Linked DNA regions of Saccharomyces cerevisiae S288C. Changing the gene in region 2 together with the main gene of any one other region gives a genetic interaction. Each region holds a gene or a part of one and is shown on either strand. Other genes may lie near its edges.

What was found. Genes that interact genetically often act in the same process or in processes that back each other up.
Region 1: mutations in TMS1 (region 2) and PYC2 together harm fitness more than expected from each alone (negative genetic interaction), as found in Saccharomyces cerevisiae (2 studies listed by BioGRID).

Annotation. Positions count from the first base shown.
Region 1 is NC_001134.8:658,207-667,546, forward strand, and holds PYC2 (pyruvate carboxylase 2), read right to left. Parts: upstream 4,044-9,340; coding exon 501-4,043; downstream 1-500. Other genes in the region: ATG12 (Atg12p), read left to right, coding at 1-186; YBR219C (uncharacterized protein), read right to left, coding at 4,293-4,375, 4,797-5,097; YBR220C (uncharacterized protein), read right to left, coding at 4,789-6,471; PDB1 (pyruvate dehydrogenase (acetyl-transferring) subunit E1 beta), read right to left, coding at 6,947-8,047; YBR221W-A (uncharacterized protein), read left to right, coding at 8,332-8,436; PCS60 (Pcs60p), read right to left, coding at 8,514-9,340. UniProt on the Saccharomyces cerevisiae protein: Pyruvate carboxylase catalyzes a 2-step reaction, involving the ATP-dependent carboxylation of the covalently attached biotin in the first step and the transfer of the carboxyl group to pyruvate in the second.
Region 2 is NC_001136.10:663,613-670,930, forward strand, and holds TMS1 (Tms1p), read right to left. Parts: upstream 3,159-7,318; coding exon 1,737-3,158; downstream 1-1,736. Other genes in the region: SPO71 (Spo71p), read right to left, coding at 1-1,298; ARP10 (Arp10p), read left to right, coding at 3,392-4,246; TMN2 (Tmn2p), read right to left, coding at 5,404-7,318.

The DNA of each region.
Region 1 (9,340 bases), on a different chromosome or scaffold from region 2:
ATGTCACAGTCTTTTGCAATGGTTATTTTATTTCTTAAGAGACGGCTGAAAATGGACCATGTTTATTGTTATATAAATAATTCGTTTGCGCCAAGTCCGCAGCAAAATATTGGTGAACTTTGGATGCAATTCAAGACTAATGATGAGCTTATTGTAAGTTATTGTGCATCCGTAGCGTTTGGTTAAATACCCGGGCGCTGGAATGGTCTAAGAAGAAAACCTACAGTCGATCAAAAATCCCGTACGATATTAAATAGAGTAGTTAACGTACTTGAGCGTTATAAACTCACATTTTCACTCAAGAAGAAAATGGAGAATGGAGACATGGTAAGTGAAAGCATTAAGGAAGAAACACAGTTAGCACGTATTTCATCGAAAGTGTTTGATTACTTTCTATTTGGCATTTAAATATACATGGGAACATAACTAGATAAAATATACGCCATATATAGTACAGCTAGTATTTTCAGATGTCATAAAATATAATTAACGAGTAAAAATTACTTTTTTTGGGATGGGGGTAGGGTTTCTTCTTCTAGGACAACCAACAAATCTGATGCGTCAACACTTTCACCATCCTTAATGAAAACGTCTTTAACTTGACCATCTGCTGGTGAAGAGACAACCATTTCCATTTTCATGGCACTCAAAACAGCAATCGATTCGCCCTTTTTCACCAAAGACCCTTTATGTACTTTAACTTCTATGATAACACCAGCCATTGGTGCACCGATTTGGTGAGTATCGTGGACATCAGCCTTTGGTTTAGCAACAGATTGTATGTTTTGTGACTTGTCTGCAACTCTGATCTTTCTTAATTCACCGTTCAATTCAAAATACACTTCTCTTTGCCCAGTTTTCTTATTTAAGTCACCAACAGCTTGCAATTTGATAATCAAAGTCTTACCTTGTTCGATGGTGACTTCGATTTCTTCATCAGGTTCTGCTGGTGCTAGGAAATTTTTGGTTGGTAGAACTGATAAATCACCGTATGTTTCTCTGATCTTTTGGAAATCTTCATAGACCCTTGGATACATATTGTAAGAAGCAACATCGCATTCATCAATATCACCGAATCTGTTCTGCAAGTCTTCTCTAATTTTTTCGAGATCAAATGGTTCTAATTCTAAACCTGGACGGCACGTCAACTTTCTTCTCTTGTTTCTCAATACATCAGATCTTAATGGTTCTGGGAACCCACCGTATGGTTGACCAATTAAACCTTCAAAAAAGTCCATAACAGAGTCAGGAAAGTCCAAAGAATTAGCTAAACGTCTAATATCGTCGGAAGTCAGTTTGTTAGAAACCATGAATTGAGCTAAATCACCGACAACCTTAGAAGTTGGGGTAACTTTAACAATATCTCCCAGTAGGTAATTGGCTTCTCTGTAAGCTCTTTTAGTTTCAGCCCATTGTTCACCAAGACCCAGTTGTTGAGCTTGGAATAACAAGTTAGTCAATTGACCACCTGGGATTTCATGTTGGTAAACTTCTGGATCTGGTCCCTTCAAGTCGGCCTCGAAACAAGAATACAACAGTCTCATTTCGGCCCAGTATGCATCTAATTCACGAACATGCTCAACGTTAATCCCAGTATCAATGTTACCTTCTAATGAAGCCAACAGTGCATTAATTGATGGTTGGGAAGTTAAGCCCGACATTGAATTGATAGCTACATCGACAACATCAGCACCTGCTAGGGCACATGCAGTCATAGACGCAACAGCAGTACCTGCGGAGTCATGACTGTGAACATGAATTGGTAAATCCGGATATCTGGTTCTTAGGGAGCCAATTAATAATTTGGCAGCGGCCGGTTTCATAGTACCTGCCATATCCTTAATACCCAAGATATGTGTACCCATTTGAACTATTTTTTCAACAACTTCTAGGTAGTAGTCTAAGTTGTATTTCTTACCTGGCTGAAGCATGTCACCAGAGTAACAAACAGTAGCTTCGACAACACCACCGGCCTTCTTGACAGCATTCACACCAACTTTTAATTGTTCTAAATCATTCAAGGCATCAAAAACTCTAAATATATCAACACCATTATCCTTGGCTTGCTTGACAAAATGGTCAATAGCATTGTCAGGTAATGAAGAGTAAGCCACACCGTTGGCACCACGTAATAACATTTGGAATGGAATATTAGGCACCAGAGATCTTAATTTTCTCAGACGTTCCCATGGATCCTCATGCAAGAATCTCATTGCAACGTCGAATGTAGCACCACCCCAACATTCTAAAGCGAAAGCACCTGCAAGGGCATGTGCGGTTGTTGGAGCGATTGTAGCCAAATCGTGGGTTCTGACTCTTGTTGCAAGTAGAGATTGATGAGCGTCTCTCCAGGTGGTGTCCATCAGTAGAGTACCATTGAACTGTCTGACTTGCTTGGCAAATTCAGATGGTCCCTTTTCCAGTAGCACTTGTCTCCATCCGGATGGTGGTGCAGACTTTGTAACGTTGATGACATTGCCCTGAGCATCGTGCAAATGGGGGACACTTGGATTTGATTTTAGTTTTGGCAAGCCAATTTGACCCTTAATAGAAGAACCGTTAACTGCCAAGTCTGCCAAATAGTGTAACAGTTTTTGCGCTCTGTTTTGTGACGATACCATTTGGAACAGTTGTGGGGTGTCGTCAATAAAAGTCGTCCAGTATGTACCCTCAATAAAAACTGGATTGGTCAAAAGAGTCAATAGGAAGGGAATGTTGGTCTTAACACCTCTGATTCTGAATTCGATCAGGGCACGAATCATCTTCCTACGGACGATTTCATAAGTAGAACCAGAGCATGAACATTTGACCAGCATTGAGTCGTAGTGAGGCGAGATAGTAGCACCTGCATAAGCGTTACCACCGTCCAATCTCACACCATTACCACCGGCAGAACGATAGACCTCCAGGCGACCGGTATCCGGTTGGAAATTCTTAGAGGGATCTTCAGTGGTAATACGACATTGGATGGAAAACCCACGGGTGGTGATTTTATCCTGTAATAGACCTAGTTGAGTCAAAGTGGCACCTGCGGCAATCTGGATTTGGGCAGAAACAATGTCAATACCGGTGATTTCTTCAGTGATGGTATGCTCCACTTGAATTCTTGGATTAATTTCAATGAAATAGTGTCTGTTTTGGTTGTCAACCAAGAATTCGGCGGTACCTGCGTTTCTGTAACCACATACCTTAGCTAATTTAACAGCATCTGTCAAAATAGCGTCACGAACTTCACGGGGCAAAGTCTTTGCTGGAGCGACTTCGACAACTTTTTGGTGTCTTCTTTGCACAGAACAGTCTCTTTCGAAAAGATGAACCACGTTTCCGTGGTTATCAGCCAACAATTGAACTTCAATATGCTTTGGCTTGTCCAAGAATCTTTCCACAAAGCAGGTACCATTACCGAAGGCAGTACGGGCTTCGGAGGTAGCACGTTGAAAGGCATCTGCCACGTCGTCACCTTCTCTAACGACTCTCATACCTCTACCACCACCACCAAAGGCGGCCTTAATGATCACCGGGTAGCCGTATTCATTAACGAAGTCAAGTGCCTCTTGCACAGTTTCGATAGGTCCTGGAGTACCGGGAACGGTAGGAACGTTAGCTCTTGCTGCCAAGTGTCTGGCAGAGACTTTGTCACCCACAGAGTCAATAACTTCAGCTGGAGGGCCGATCCAAGTGATACCGGCCTTCACTACTTTGTCGGCAAATTCCGAATTTTCAGACAAGAACCCATAACCTGGATGGATGAAATCCACCTTATGCTTCTTTGCAATTTCGATGATCTCGTCCATTGCCAAGTAAGCACCCACAGGTGTATACTGGCCCTCCTCCCCGATAACATACGCTTCGTCCGCCTTCAACCTGTGCATTGAAAGACGGTCCTCATGGGAGTATATGGCGATGGTTCTCATAGACAGCTCATGAGCAGATCTAAAAATTCTAATCGGAATTTCACCTCTATTGGCGACCAAGATCTTATTCTTTTCGCCGAGCAAACTGAAATTGTCCCTAAGACCGGCCAATTTCTTGCTACTGCTCATATTTTATTTTGTTCTCTATGTCCCTTATTTTCTCTCCTAGTAACTGTCCTTTATTTTGCAATATAGTAATTGGCAAAAAAATCAAACTCAAATGACGGGCCACAGATAGTAAGCTACAAGAGTTTGGAAGAAAAGAGGGGCTTGTTTATGTATGTAATCAAGTAAGGATACCGAAAGTAAGAGAAAAGAAAAAAGGACTAAAAATCACAGAAACACAATAGGAAATATCCGATGGGGAGTACTTCTTACTTAACACTCCCTGCGCCAATTCTGACTCTTATAATAAATAGCTCGAGACGTAACTGCCAAAATTGTAAAAAAAAAATGAAAAACTATTAGAAAATTAATTGCGAAAAAAAAAAGGTTAGTCATATGTGCCTTTGCGGCGTCTTCCGCAGGAAGGACCCCTCTCTGCCAATCACAGAAGAGCTGGCTGTGCCTGTGCGGTACGCTATCAGCAGCTGCGTCGGGTAAGGGACACGTCGTTAGTGACAATCGTGGTTAGTTTTCGTACAGAAAGATGACCTTAATTGATAATTAAAGTATAGAAATGTCGTATAGTATATTTTTCCCTTGCATGGAAAAAACTGGGATAATGTGATGATTCTCATTAACAGATTTACACTGGTATTGATACTCATTTTGTTTCTGCTTCCTGTAGTACATAAAAAGATCTTGTAAATATTACGATACTCGTTAAAATTTTCTTGAACGTAATGTCGTACAATTCTTGTTTGAGGGGTCGTTACGTACATCTCCAGGAACTGATTGGCAGACTTTGTAAATGGAGGATTTTCCTTTTCAAATATCCAAAATATAGGAAAAGTCCGACTACAATACATATGAGATTGGTGATGTAATAGCCGTCACGCAGGATGGTCACGGTGCCATTCAAAAGCTCGGTGCACGCTTGCATGCTGCCGCCGTGAGTTACGTATACTTTATTTGTGCCAGGAATAGTGCACTGATACACGGTGAAGTAGTTGATCATGGACATAATGATTAACCGCGGCCATGTCCCACCGAAGTTGCTGAGGGTATTTAACAATGTCATATATGTGCCACCCAGCACGGGGTCTGCAACTCTTGTATGGAAGGCCGATATTCCAATGAACTGGACAGTATTCATGAAGGAACCTAAGAGGTGCTGGAATATCACGAGACAAAAATAACCCGTGGATATTTCACCATCCTTGGGGAATTGCTTCACCACGTAACTTCCCAAGACCGCGGCTGCCAGACGGCCCAAAAAGCCCCACAACCATGGTGTTAAAACGCCGGCATCCCCAACTAAGAACTTGATGACCTTGTTGGTGCCCGTGCTGTTTCTTAATCTTCTATTGTCACGAATCATGGGGTCCTTGTCGGAGCTCCATTTAACAACATAGTACCCAAATATGATTTCGAACGGCAGGTCTATGAGTACTGTCACAGCCAAGTCTTCTCTTTTGAAGCCTTGCTCTAGTAGTTTCAGGTTTGTGGCGGCTTCGTTGCATTGAAAGGCAAATTTCGAAATCATGTGAATGAAGGCTAGGCTTCTTACGGACTTCAATTTCAACACTTTTATAAAGCAGCGGTAAATGTACTTTATACTGCTTGTATTCTGAGTTGACACCACATCACCGTCGTCATACTCAATACTTATCGGCTTTGACCCTCCGTCACTTGTATTTATGGGCTCCACTTTGGGCAAATACTCTACGTAGGGTTTTTCCTTGGTGCAAAAGATGATATATATGGTTATTACAATGTAAAGCATGCCCGAGAATTTCATGTACCCACCAAGACTAATGAACCCGTGATCCAGTGGGATGTTTCTGAAATACTTATTGGCGAAATCAGAGGAATTCAACGACAGGAAAATGGTAAATGACATAAAATAACCAATATTCAAACCTATTGTTTGCGCGGTAGATGCATATGATAGGGATTCTTTGGACAAAATCGTCAACGCCCAACCATCAACTGCGATGTCTTGAGTGGCACACAGAAAAACTAACAGGCCAAACCACCACGTCAAATTTTTTATACTGACACTGTGTAAAGTGCCATTACCGCGATTATGGAACGCATCGTCGACACCATCGAAGATTATGCCTTGTGATATGCACCACCCTAATGCCCATAGCACAAATCCACTAACAAATTGTACTGGAATGATCCATGATCTTCTTCTACCGATGCGCTTGTTGTACAGTGAGTCTACTATTGGTGACCATATGATCTTTAAAGAATATGGATATGTAGCCATAGAGAAAATTCCCAGTGATGTAAACGAGGTCTCCTTTGCTAAAGATTTCAGTAGAAACGGTACGGTACCGAAGGCCAATCCTACAGGTATGCCTTGAGCCAAATATAACATAATTAAAAGATAAAATTGCGGCAAATCATGCTTGGCTAGTGACCCGCTCTTTCGCTTAGGTTCCATGCCTACTTTTGTTTTATCCCCCTATAACTATGGTATATTATACTGCCTCACCAAACGTTTAGGTCTTGCTTCTGCTTCCCACAGTAGCTTACGCATTATAGCCGATTTATTTTTCACTTATTTTCGCATGCCAGAGTATCTTTATTTTCTTTCTTTCATTCAGCCTGTCGTCGAAAAGAAAAAAAAGAAAATAAATATGTGCGTATTCTAACCATGAAACAGGAACTCATTCAATGTGCACAGTACTTATCTCATTCAATTTTGTAAAAACAAAATATATACATTGTATGTATGTGTGTATTTGCAGTTATATATCTACTAATAACCAGTACGCCATACATGTCTTGATTAGCAAAATATTATTTATGTTTTTCTCATTAGTACTATTTCCGCGAAGAGGGTAGAAAGTGTAGGGTACAGGGAAAAAAGTTCCCTATCTCCTTCTTTCTCTCCTTCCTATTGGATTGAAGTTTATTTATTCAATTGACAAGACTTCTTTGACAGCTTTAACGATGGTTGGAGTATCAGGGAAAGCGAAATCTTCTAATTCTTTAGCGTAAGGTGTTGGAACATCGGCACCAGTAACTCTTTGGATTGGAGCATCCAAGTAATCAAAGGCTTCAGACTCCATAACTTGGGCGACAATTTCAGCACCAACACCAAATGATGGGAAAGTGGATTCAACAGTAATCAAGTGGTTTGTCTTCTTGACAGTTTTGATGATAGCTTCAGTATCTAAAGGTCTAATAGAACGCAAGTTGATAACTTCTGCAGAGACACCATATTTCTTTTGTAGAATTTCAGCGGCTTCCAAAGAAAACTGAACGTTTCTTGTGTACGTAACAATGGAAATATCGGTACCTTCTCTTTCGATCTTAGCCTTGTATGGCAAGGTGAACTCAGGGGATAAAGCTTCTTCTGAGATTTCAAAAGATTCACCGTACAACAATTCGTTCTCTAAAAATACAACAGGGTTTGGATCTCTGATGGCGGCCTTTAACAAACCCCTAGCATCTTCAGCAGAATAAGGGACAAGGACCTTTAACCCTGGAATGGAACCGTACCAAGGAGAAAAGTCCTGTGAATGTTGAGCACCAACACCCACTGCAGCACCATTAGGACCTCTGAAGACCATTTGACATTTTTGAGTACCACCAGACATGTAGTGAGTCTTTGCAGCGGAATTGACAACATGATCGATAGCTTGCATAGAGAAATTGAACGACATAAACTCTACAATTGGCTTCAAACCCTTCAAAGCGGCACCAACGGCCAAACCTGTGAACCCGTATTCGGTAATAGGTGTGTCAACCACACGACGTTCACCGAACCTGTCCAATAAACCCTTTGACACCTTATAAGCCCCGTTATATTGTGCAACTTCTTCACCAATAAGGAAGACATCATCATCACGGTCCAATTCTTCCGCCATGGCACTATTCAAGGCCTCTCTGACGGTCATCGTCTTTGTTGATGAGAATCTCAATGCTGCTGCTGCTGCAGAGGGTCTTACAAAAGAAGTTGGGGCACGACGTGCAACATTTCTGGCCAATGATGTTGGCAGTCTGGAAAACATGTTGAACAAAATTATTGCAAAAGTAAAAGAACTTACTAAACTGCGATCGATTATCAATGAACAAACACAGGAACTGTTATGAGGGAGGCGGAATTTAACGTCCGAGTGTGTAAATGATACTAAATTAGTCTAACAAAAGGAAGAAACTTGACAGAGATAATATCAAGAGTCGCTGTTGCAATCGTTAACCTGTATATGTAGATACACCTCTTTTTATTGCAAACGTGCAAACGCATGACTTTTAATGACGGAGAACTTCTTAGTTGAAGACTCGTCTCTTTTGCATGTTCTCCCACTTCGAAGTCTCGGAAAACAGACCCCGGAAACAGCCGCGACGAAAAAGAATCAGCTTAGGCATGATAAATACTGTGGTTTCATTAGATAGATAAAATACATAAGTATTGGCGTATATAAACGGGTGCCAGATAGAAGCTTTCAGAGAGCATAAAATTGTACAGGATACTGCCTACAACTTACTCTTATTTCTGCTGCTCTTAGCAAAAGTTTCTGCGATAACTCTTCTCTGGATTTTACCTGTAGCGGTTTTTGGTAGCTTATCAACAAAGTACACCTTGGTTGGAATTTTGAAAGAGGCTAGGTGCTTCTTTAAGAAGTTCACCAGTTCTTCGTAGGTCATTTTTTCTCCCTTCTTCAAAACAATGGCGGCTTGAACTACTTGGCCGTACATATCGTCGGGAACACCAAATGCAACGGCTTCATCGATCTTTGGATGCGATAGCATAATGCCGTCGAGCTCAATGGGTGAAATCTTTTCACCACCCCTGTTGATAAGCTCTTTGATTCTGCCTGTAAGGACCAAAAACCCCTCAGGGTCGAAATAACCTTGGTCACCGGTTCTGAAATAGTTCTCTCTCTTGGTGAAGTTCTCCTTGTTAGCTTTTGGATTATTAGCATACCCCAAAGTGACGTTTTCGCCTCTGATGGAAACTTCGCCGACTTTGCCCGGGGGCAAGACATTGTCATTGTCATCTAGAATGACGACGGTGACTCCTTGTGGCTGGCCCACAGTACCAGGCTTTCTCTTTCCTGGAGGCAGATTGTTTGAGGTCATTTGATGTGATGCTTCGGTCATCGCATAGGCCTCCAAGACAGGTGCATTGAATTCCTTCTCCAGCTTATGGAACGTTGCTGGAGCCAAAGCAGAAGAACACGATCTGATGAATCTAATGTGTGGGAAAGGGTTTGGTTTGGGCATGTTCAGCATAATCATGCTTATTGTGGGAACGCAACTGAACCAATTACAGTTGTACTTAACAAATTGGTCCCAGAATA
Region 2 (7,318 bases):
ACACTATCTTTGATTTTGCAGCTAGTTTTGTTTCGAGCATTGTGAACATGTTTTCTTATATGATGAGAATGTTTAGAGGCTAGCCTATCGTGTATAATTCTCTCTTCCTCCGTCAGTTCGGTAGGCCATGGAGGTAGGATATTAATAAACGGAAGATGACTCGAATGCAACTTACCAATGTCCACGCATGAACCTCTTTCTCTTTTTTGAAAGGCATCCGCACTTTTACGTCTTTCATCGAGATAAGTCCCATATTTCTGGGATGTTTTCCACAGCATCAAGTTTTCCTTTTCCATACTTTGTAGAGCATTAAAAAAAATCTTTTCATTTGCATTTAATCCCACGTTATTGATAGTATTAGATGTTGAAAAGCCATCACTTAGGTCATTCGAGTTAACAAATTGTCCTGATCTACTTAGAATACTATTTGGGGCGGGGCTTGTCCGATTTGTTACTTCAATTATACTGTCGGGATATCTCAAAGTATCTTCAGAAGGTTCTCTATTATAATTAAAGTCTGTTTCTCCAACACTTCTGGCTGAAGAGGGGCTCGGTATTCTATCAAAATGCGAATAATCTTTTCTGGATATGCTTTTTGATTCCCCTAGATCTTTTCGTTTCAAATTCGAAAGGAGTGATTTATTCCTTTTATTTGTATTTTCTTGATCTTCTTCATGTAAAACTGGGTGGATATCCACGGCTTGCGCCGTATCGATGAGAGGCAAACTATTGTTTCTAGAAAGCTCTGATTTTTTTTCTTTCAAAAGCTCTTGTCGCATGAAGTTTTGATCGGAAGAACTCCTACACCTTCTGGGTAGACTTAATTTATATTCACTTTTCTGCACAGGACTTGACCTAGTTCTCTTCATCTCCATTTCCGCTTCTTTAAGACGATGACCGTTGTGAATTGATGTATTATCTTCATAGGACCATGTAAAGTGCTTTCTTAAGTACAATGCAGTTGGGATCTTCCCTACACGCTTTTTGTAAATTGTTCCATAGCCATATCTTCTTAGCATGTCAGATTGCTTCCTAACCTTCCGAAGTGAAATTTTAGTTAGAAGTTTCCAGACTTGATTATTTTGATCAGCGTACCATTGTTTTGGAATACCACCTAGCAAAGTCACCTGTGAACATGCTGAAAGCTCTGTAGGTGAAACATACGACAGTCTAAACGCTGTGAAGGAATGCCGGGGAATGGTGAAGACCTTGACATTTGCATTTTGTGGTGAGCTGAAGCTAGTCACTCTCTGCGCGTACTTAACATCGTCTTCAACAACATTAACGATAGAATCCATATTTCGAAATGTTTCGAAGACAAATCCCTTTCTTTTACAATCACTGTATGCTGACTTTTGTTATTGATATTTTCACCAGACATTTCTTTAGCCACAATGATTTTGTTTTACCATATCTTTGAAGCACGGCGCAAACTCCGAATATCGCATAAAGAAGGTTGAGAGAATGTTTTCTACCTTTAAAAGAAGAAAAGAGATCCTTCGAAAACGGTCGATCGATAATAACTGTAATTGGCATTTCAAATAAATAGAGGATAGTTAAAATAATCCTCGAGAAGCGATATCTCAATTAGATAATTAAGATCCATTTTTTTTTGAGGGAGGTTTACTCATCTTCTTGAAACTAGTGCATGAGTATAGTAAAATTAGTGTTTCTACTGGGGGCTACTTAAAAAAAAGTTACATACATTATAAGAAAATCTTTTTGTGTTAGTCTATTTAATAGTAATTCTCGTAATCAAATCTATCGGGCATAATCGCTGGGGCTACCACTGTCCAACCGTAAAGGGCATAACATATCCATGCACTAACTATTTTTACCCAAGAATAAAAATATGTTCTTCCTACGGGTATAAAATCACCTACATCATCCTGGGTAACGTTTATTGTTAGTAAAATTGCAATCCACTGGGTTGCCAGAAAGAATATAACGTGGAACAGAGTGTAATTGTACTTGGTTCCAGTCCTTTCATCATCATTTTGGTTATCCATTGCGCCTGTAGGAGATGATGTCCCTAACCAAGCGGTATCATATAAGGCACTTTCCGGTAAAGATCCTTCTTCTACAGCTTGTTTAATAGCTTCATACCTCAACTGATTTCTTGTCTGTCCACCTAGTCCTTCGTACTCGATATCATTCCCGAGATATATAGCACCATTAGTATTGGTGCCTTGAAAAGCACTATTAGCAGCGGCTCTAGTTGTGGTGTAAGCAATCGCAATAAAAGTAAATAAAGAGCCCAAAATGATACTAAACTTACGGGTTCCACTAGATCTAACCAACGGATTACACATTTTGTCATCCGGTTCGGAAGACATGGCACTCATTGTCAAATAAGTACAGTAAACAGAAACCATACTACTTTGGGCCAGCCCACTTTTAGGGTTGGCCTCTTGGATCTTAGGATTCACCGATAAGACAAGCGTTATAACAGTTAATATTAAATTGACTGTTACCGCTGTTTGATTCATGTTACATTGTTGATGACAAAACATAACATACATAACAACAGTCATGATAATCGATGCGGTATACATTGAAGTTGTCCCTAAAACCAAAAATCGTTGCCAGAATGAGGAATCTTCATCTTCTGACTCAACGTGACTAATACACGTTTCAGCCCACTCATGAGCGAAGTCTACTAATAATATAAGCCCAACCAGGATGAAAATTGCTCCACTAGGGACTGACACCCACTTGGAAAAGAAAATATAAAAGTCATTGGGGATGACAAATGACAAAACAATGAGACATAAATACAGTATAAATTTTAAACTCCACCACGAATTCTGTAATGCTGCTCTTACGTCATTAGTCGACTTTACGCCCGTTAGTACAAGCGCCAATATCAAATGTAAGCATCCCAATGCAAAATTCAACCTATGAACTGTAAAAAATCCACATTCCCCAGTCCCAGTACATGTCTTCCCTGGCCATAGGATTGATTTGTTCGCAGAATAGGACACCCATGATATCAATGAGTTAAGTAAAAGCCAAACGGCGTACAGAAGTCTTGTCCCTAAAGAAGAAGATCCTAGGGAAGATGCAGTCTTAGTCACCAAGTTTGAGCAGCAACCTCCAAAACAGGACGCCACGAATGAGCCCGCCATGCTAACTGGCAAAGAAATTACGGCACCCATGGTAGATTGTTGTACTTTGTGATGGGTATTTTGATATGAAGTAAATCTGTTGTTTGATTATAAACTTCGTTTTGGGGGCATAAAGACCTCAAAAACAGTTCTCTTTTTTGTTAGAATCTAATTGTCGGAACTTCTATTGTAGCCGAGAGACATAAACAAAAGAGGTACAAATACTACAATATTCGACACTGTGAAATGATAAAAAAAATCTACCCAGGAAACCCTATGAGGAAATGTCGAATACTATTGTGATAGTCTATTTGGGAGCTAACAGAATCGAAATTGGAAGAAGTGCTGATGCGTGTCCACAAGAAATTATCGCCTGGAAAACAGGTAGTATTAATGAAAAAAATAGGGAAGAATTGAAAAAAATATTTGAACATTACTTCCAAATTTGCAACATCTTGGGAAATCGAGAAGTACAAGTGTTGATACTAGAAGATATCTTCATTTCTGTAGTAGAGAAAAGAATTATTTGTAGCATCTTGTTTAAGGAATTTGACTGCGCTCACGTTTCGTTTGTCCCCAGGGCCATTGTGCACTGCTTATCCTGTAATACAAGGAATGCCATAGTTATAGATATAGGTACCAATTATACTACATGCGTACCTATTTTCGACCTTAGACCTTTGCAACAGTTCATAAAATACTCAAAACGAGGCAAAAGACAGGTTGAGTCAAGAATTCCTCTCCCGGGCAGTCTCTACATGCCAATATTTTTTGACGAAGAATACAACTCTAAAAATTGTGAAGTAGATGAAACCCCGGTAATAAATCTTGTCAAAAATATTGTAGAGTCACTTCCTATCGACTTGAGAAGGCCACTGAGAGAAAATATCATTATAGTAAACATTGAAGAGGCGTATGAAACAGTAATAAGGAATTTATTCAAGTTAAAAATGGATACGTCCAAAATCCAGTTTCCTAAAAATTACTGGCAGGCTGGTTCTGCATGCGCGAAAATACTTCTGCACTATAAGGGGAGCAACATTGTAGGAATAGAAAGAGATGAGTTTTATAACAATCCTCATATTGCTCCTGATTGGTTTGATTATTACTTCAGAACTGGAGTGAAGCGCTTACAATAGGCTTTATGTATATGTAGAAAACAAAAACAGGAAGTGTTCTCTTCACCAAACTGCGTCTTTCCACAACAATTAGCCTTATTGAGCTTTTGATGTAAAAGTTTATGATAGTAAAGAGCTATTTTTAACAATAGAGGAGAAAAAATAAAAATGGTCTCTAGCGGGATCGAACCGCTGATCCCCGCGTTATTAGCACGGTGCCTTAACCAACTGGGCCAAGAGACCAATTTGGATCGAAAGTGTTGTATCTCAAAATGAGATATGTCAGTATGACAATACGTCATCCTAAACGTTCATAAAACACATATGAAACAACCTTATAACAAAACGAACAACATGAGATAAAACACGGCCTTCCCTAGCTGAACTACCCAAACGTATAAATGCTTGAACAATTAGTTTAGATCCGAGATTCCGCGCTTCCACCACTTAGTATGATTCATATTTTATATAATATATAAGATAAGTAACATTCCGTGAATTAATCTGATAAACTGTTTTGACAACTGGTTACTTCCCTAAGACTGTTTATATTAGGATTGTCAAGACACTCCGGTATTACTCGAGCCCGTAATACAACAGAAAGTTAACCATTAATATTTCACCTAATTACACACTCTCCTAAAGAATTTGGATTTGATAACTATCATGTCATTTGAAAGAGTAACTCGTTTTCAGATTTATTATTGCCGGAATAAAAATAAATAAATATATCGAATAATATTCTTTATTATTAATGTCGAATGAGTTGTTAGAAGACTTCATAACAATTATCGGATTTAATGGAAGCTGAAGTGCAAGAATTGATAATTTAATAAGATAATGAATTTAATATAAAATATAAACGGAGAGAGAATAATGTTGTTATATAGAATTGTTGATTCCCTTTTGCGGATTTCTTATATCCTCGAGGAAAACTTCTAATATATATCCAATATAATCGTTTCCAAATTGTGAAAGAAAAAAAAATCTTCAATACAGTGTATTAGTGCTACATAAAAACGCGTTAAAACTTGCATTCCAATTTATCAAAAAGTTTGCCAGGACATATAGGATATAAATGCATTGCGAAGTAAAACACTTCTCAAAAAATTAAAAAAAAAAAAAAAAATAAAACTAACGTATTCACTTCTTTTACTTTAGTGGAGAGAATAACGAAATCACTCAACTTTAATGGCAGAGTATATCTTCCTAATAAAAAACATACTACTAAAAAAACCAATCGCTCCAGTGACGACACAACATAATGCAGATATAATAAGTGAATATCCGAGATAGAGCACGACAGTAATAACTCCACCAAGCTTGAACTTAGTAAATAGTATGGAGTGGATGAACGTATAGATTGAACATCCTAAACCACCAATAATAAAACTTCTCCATTGCCATAGCCAGTTTTCTAGACATAACGAGTAATATGTGATCAAGATGGTAACTAATGAGGTTGTCAAGGTCAACAATAAGAATGAAAAGAGTAAAAATCCAAACATATAAAAAATTTTGTTGAACCATAAACTGGAGTAAATGAAGTACAGCTCAACCGCTATTGATCCGAAACTGAAAATTCCAGCGATTAAGGTTGCTTGTGCTGTTCTCAAGTACCAGGGTTGATATGGAATCTGTCTGGCGATTTGGTTTGTTTTAGTTGGATGCTCATCCCAATTACACTGCTTATGAGCAACAATTGAACCCGCAAACGACAACGGAACAGAAACTAAAAACCATAGAAGAATGATAAAGAATAGGCTTCTCGCTGGGATGACACCTGAAGAATGTGCAAATAACAAAAAGAAGTTCATTATTACAATCAGTAAAAAAATTGCTCCAGGAAGTAATATTGGCGTTAATATCATATTCGCCTTCCAATAGGGTCCACGAAAAAATTTGTAGACACCCATTGAGGCGTAGGATCCTACAAATCCAAATAATGCATAAAGAACAAACATTACAGTTGGCAGGGATCCTCTGGAAACAGGCGACACAAGACCTACTGCGGCAAAAAAAATGCTACACATGACCATCAAAAATAACTGCATACCGGATCCCACAAGAATGGATAGCAGCATCGACTTAGATGGGGTTCTAAATACGTCACCATGGCCCAATTTCCAGCCAGAATCTTCATGGAATTCATTATCCAAGTTTAGTTCGTTATAACGAGCGAGATCGCTTTTCAAAGCCCGTAATAGAGAATGCATTACAACAGATGACAACAAAATAACAATAACGGAAAAATTTATTAATGAAAACCATTGTATCTGCGGGTCATAAATATGTAGATACTTATCCCATCTCGTAGCCCACACTGTATCAGAGGCAACAAATTTAACAGAATAAGTGAAGTAAACCTCGTTATCCTTATCCTCGTCTAGTATCAGAGGTTTTCCCGTTGTAGAACACGCGCCAGGTGACGATCTTTCGATAGATACAGGGTTTACAATGACACCAACAACTCGGTAATTATCGTTTCCACGATCGTGAAATTCCACTTCAATGTCAAAATGATTTACAAAGTAAGGTAATTCTACCGTTTTAACTAAATTAGGCTTAACATTCTTGGGCAGTCGAGCATCCAATATAACATCCTCATTTGAGGCCTCTGAAGTAAGCTCTTCCATCGTACTGGGAACTGCTTTACCGTCAACGGTTTGCTTAACATCTGTAAAACCTAACTCAAATCCTGTGCCGTAATAGTTTGTTTTTGTTCTGCTATCATAAGCCTTTCTTGCTGCTGGCAATCCATCCACGAGCCAGTTTTGGAAAAATCCACTTTTAATAAGGGTGTTGATAAATTTGGCATCTTTTCCCGGAATCGTGCTTTTACAAAGTGCAACACACTCTTTCTCCTCTAACATGTTCAATTGGAATGGGGAATTGTAAATTCTGTCACCAAATATGACTGAACCTAACGACTCAGGCTGTTTCTCAACGTGCTCTGGTCTACAAAAATGAAACCTCTTATTATAGTAATCATAGGAGTAAAGAAAATGTTCTTTATCGCCTGAAACATCGTTACCTTCCTCATCTTGATGCTGAAAGTAAATTGATGGAGTCAAGCGGTTCACCAATAGCGGG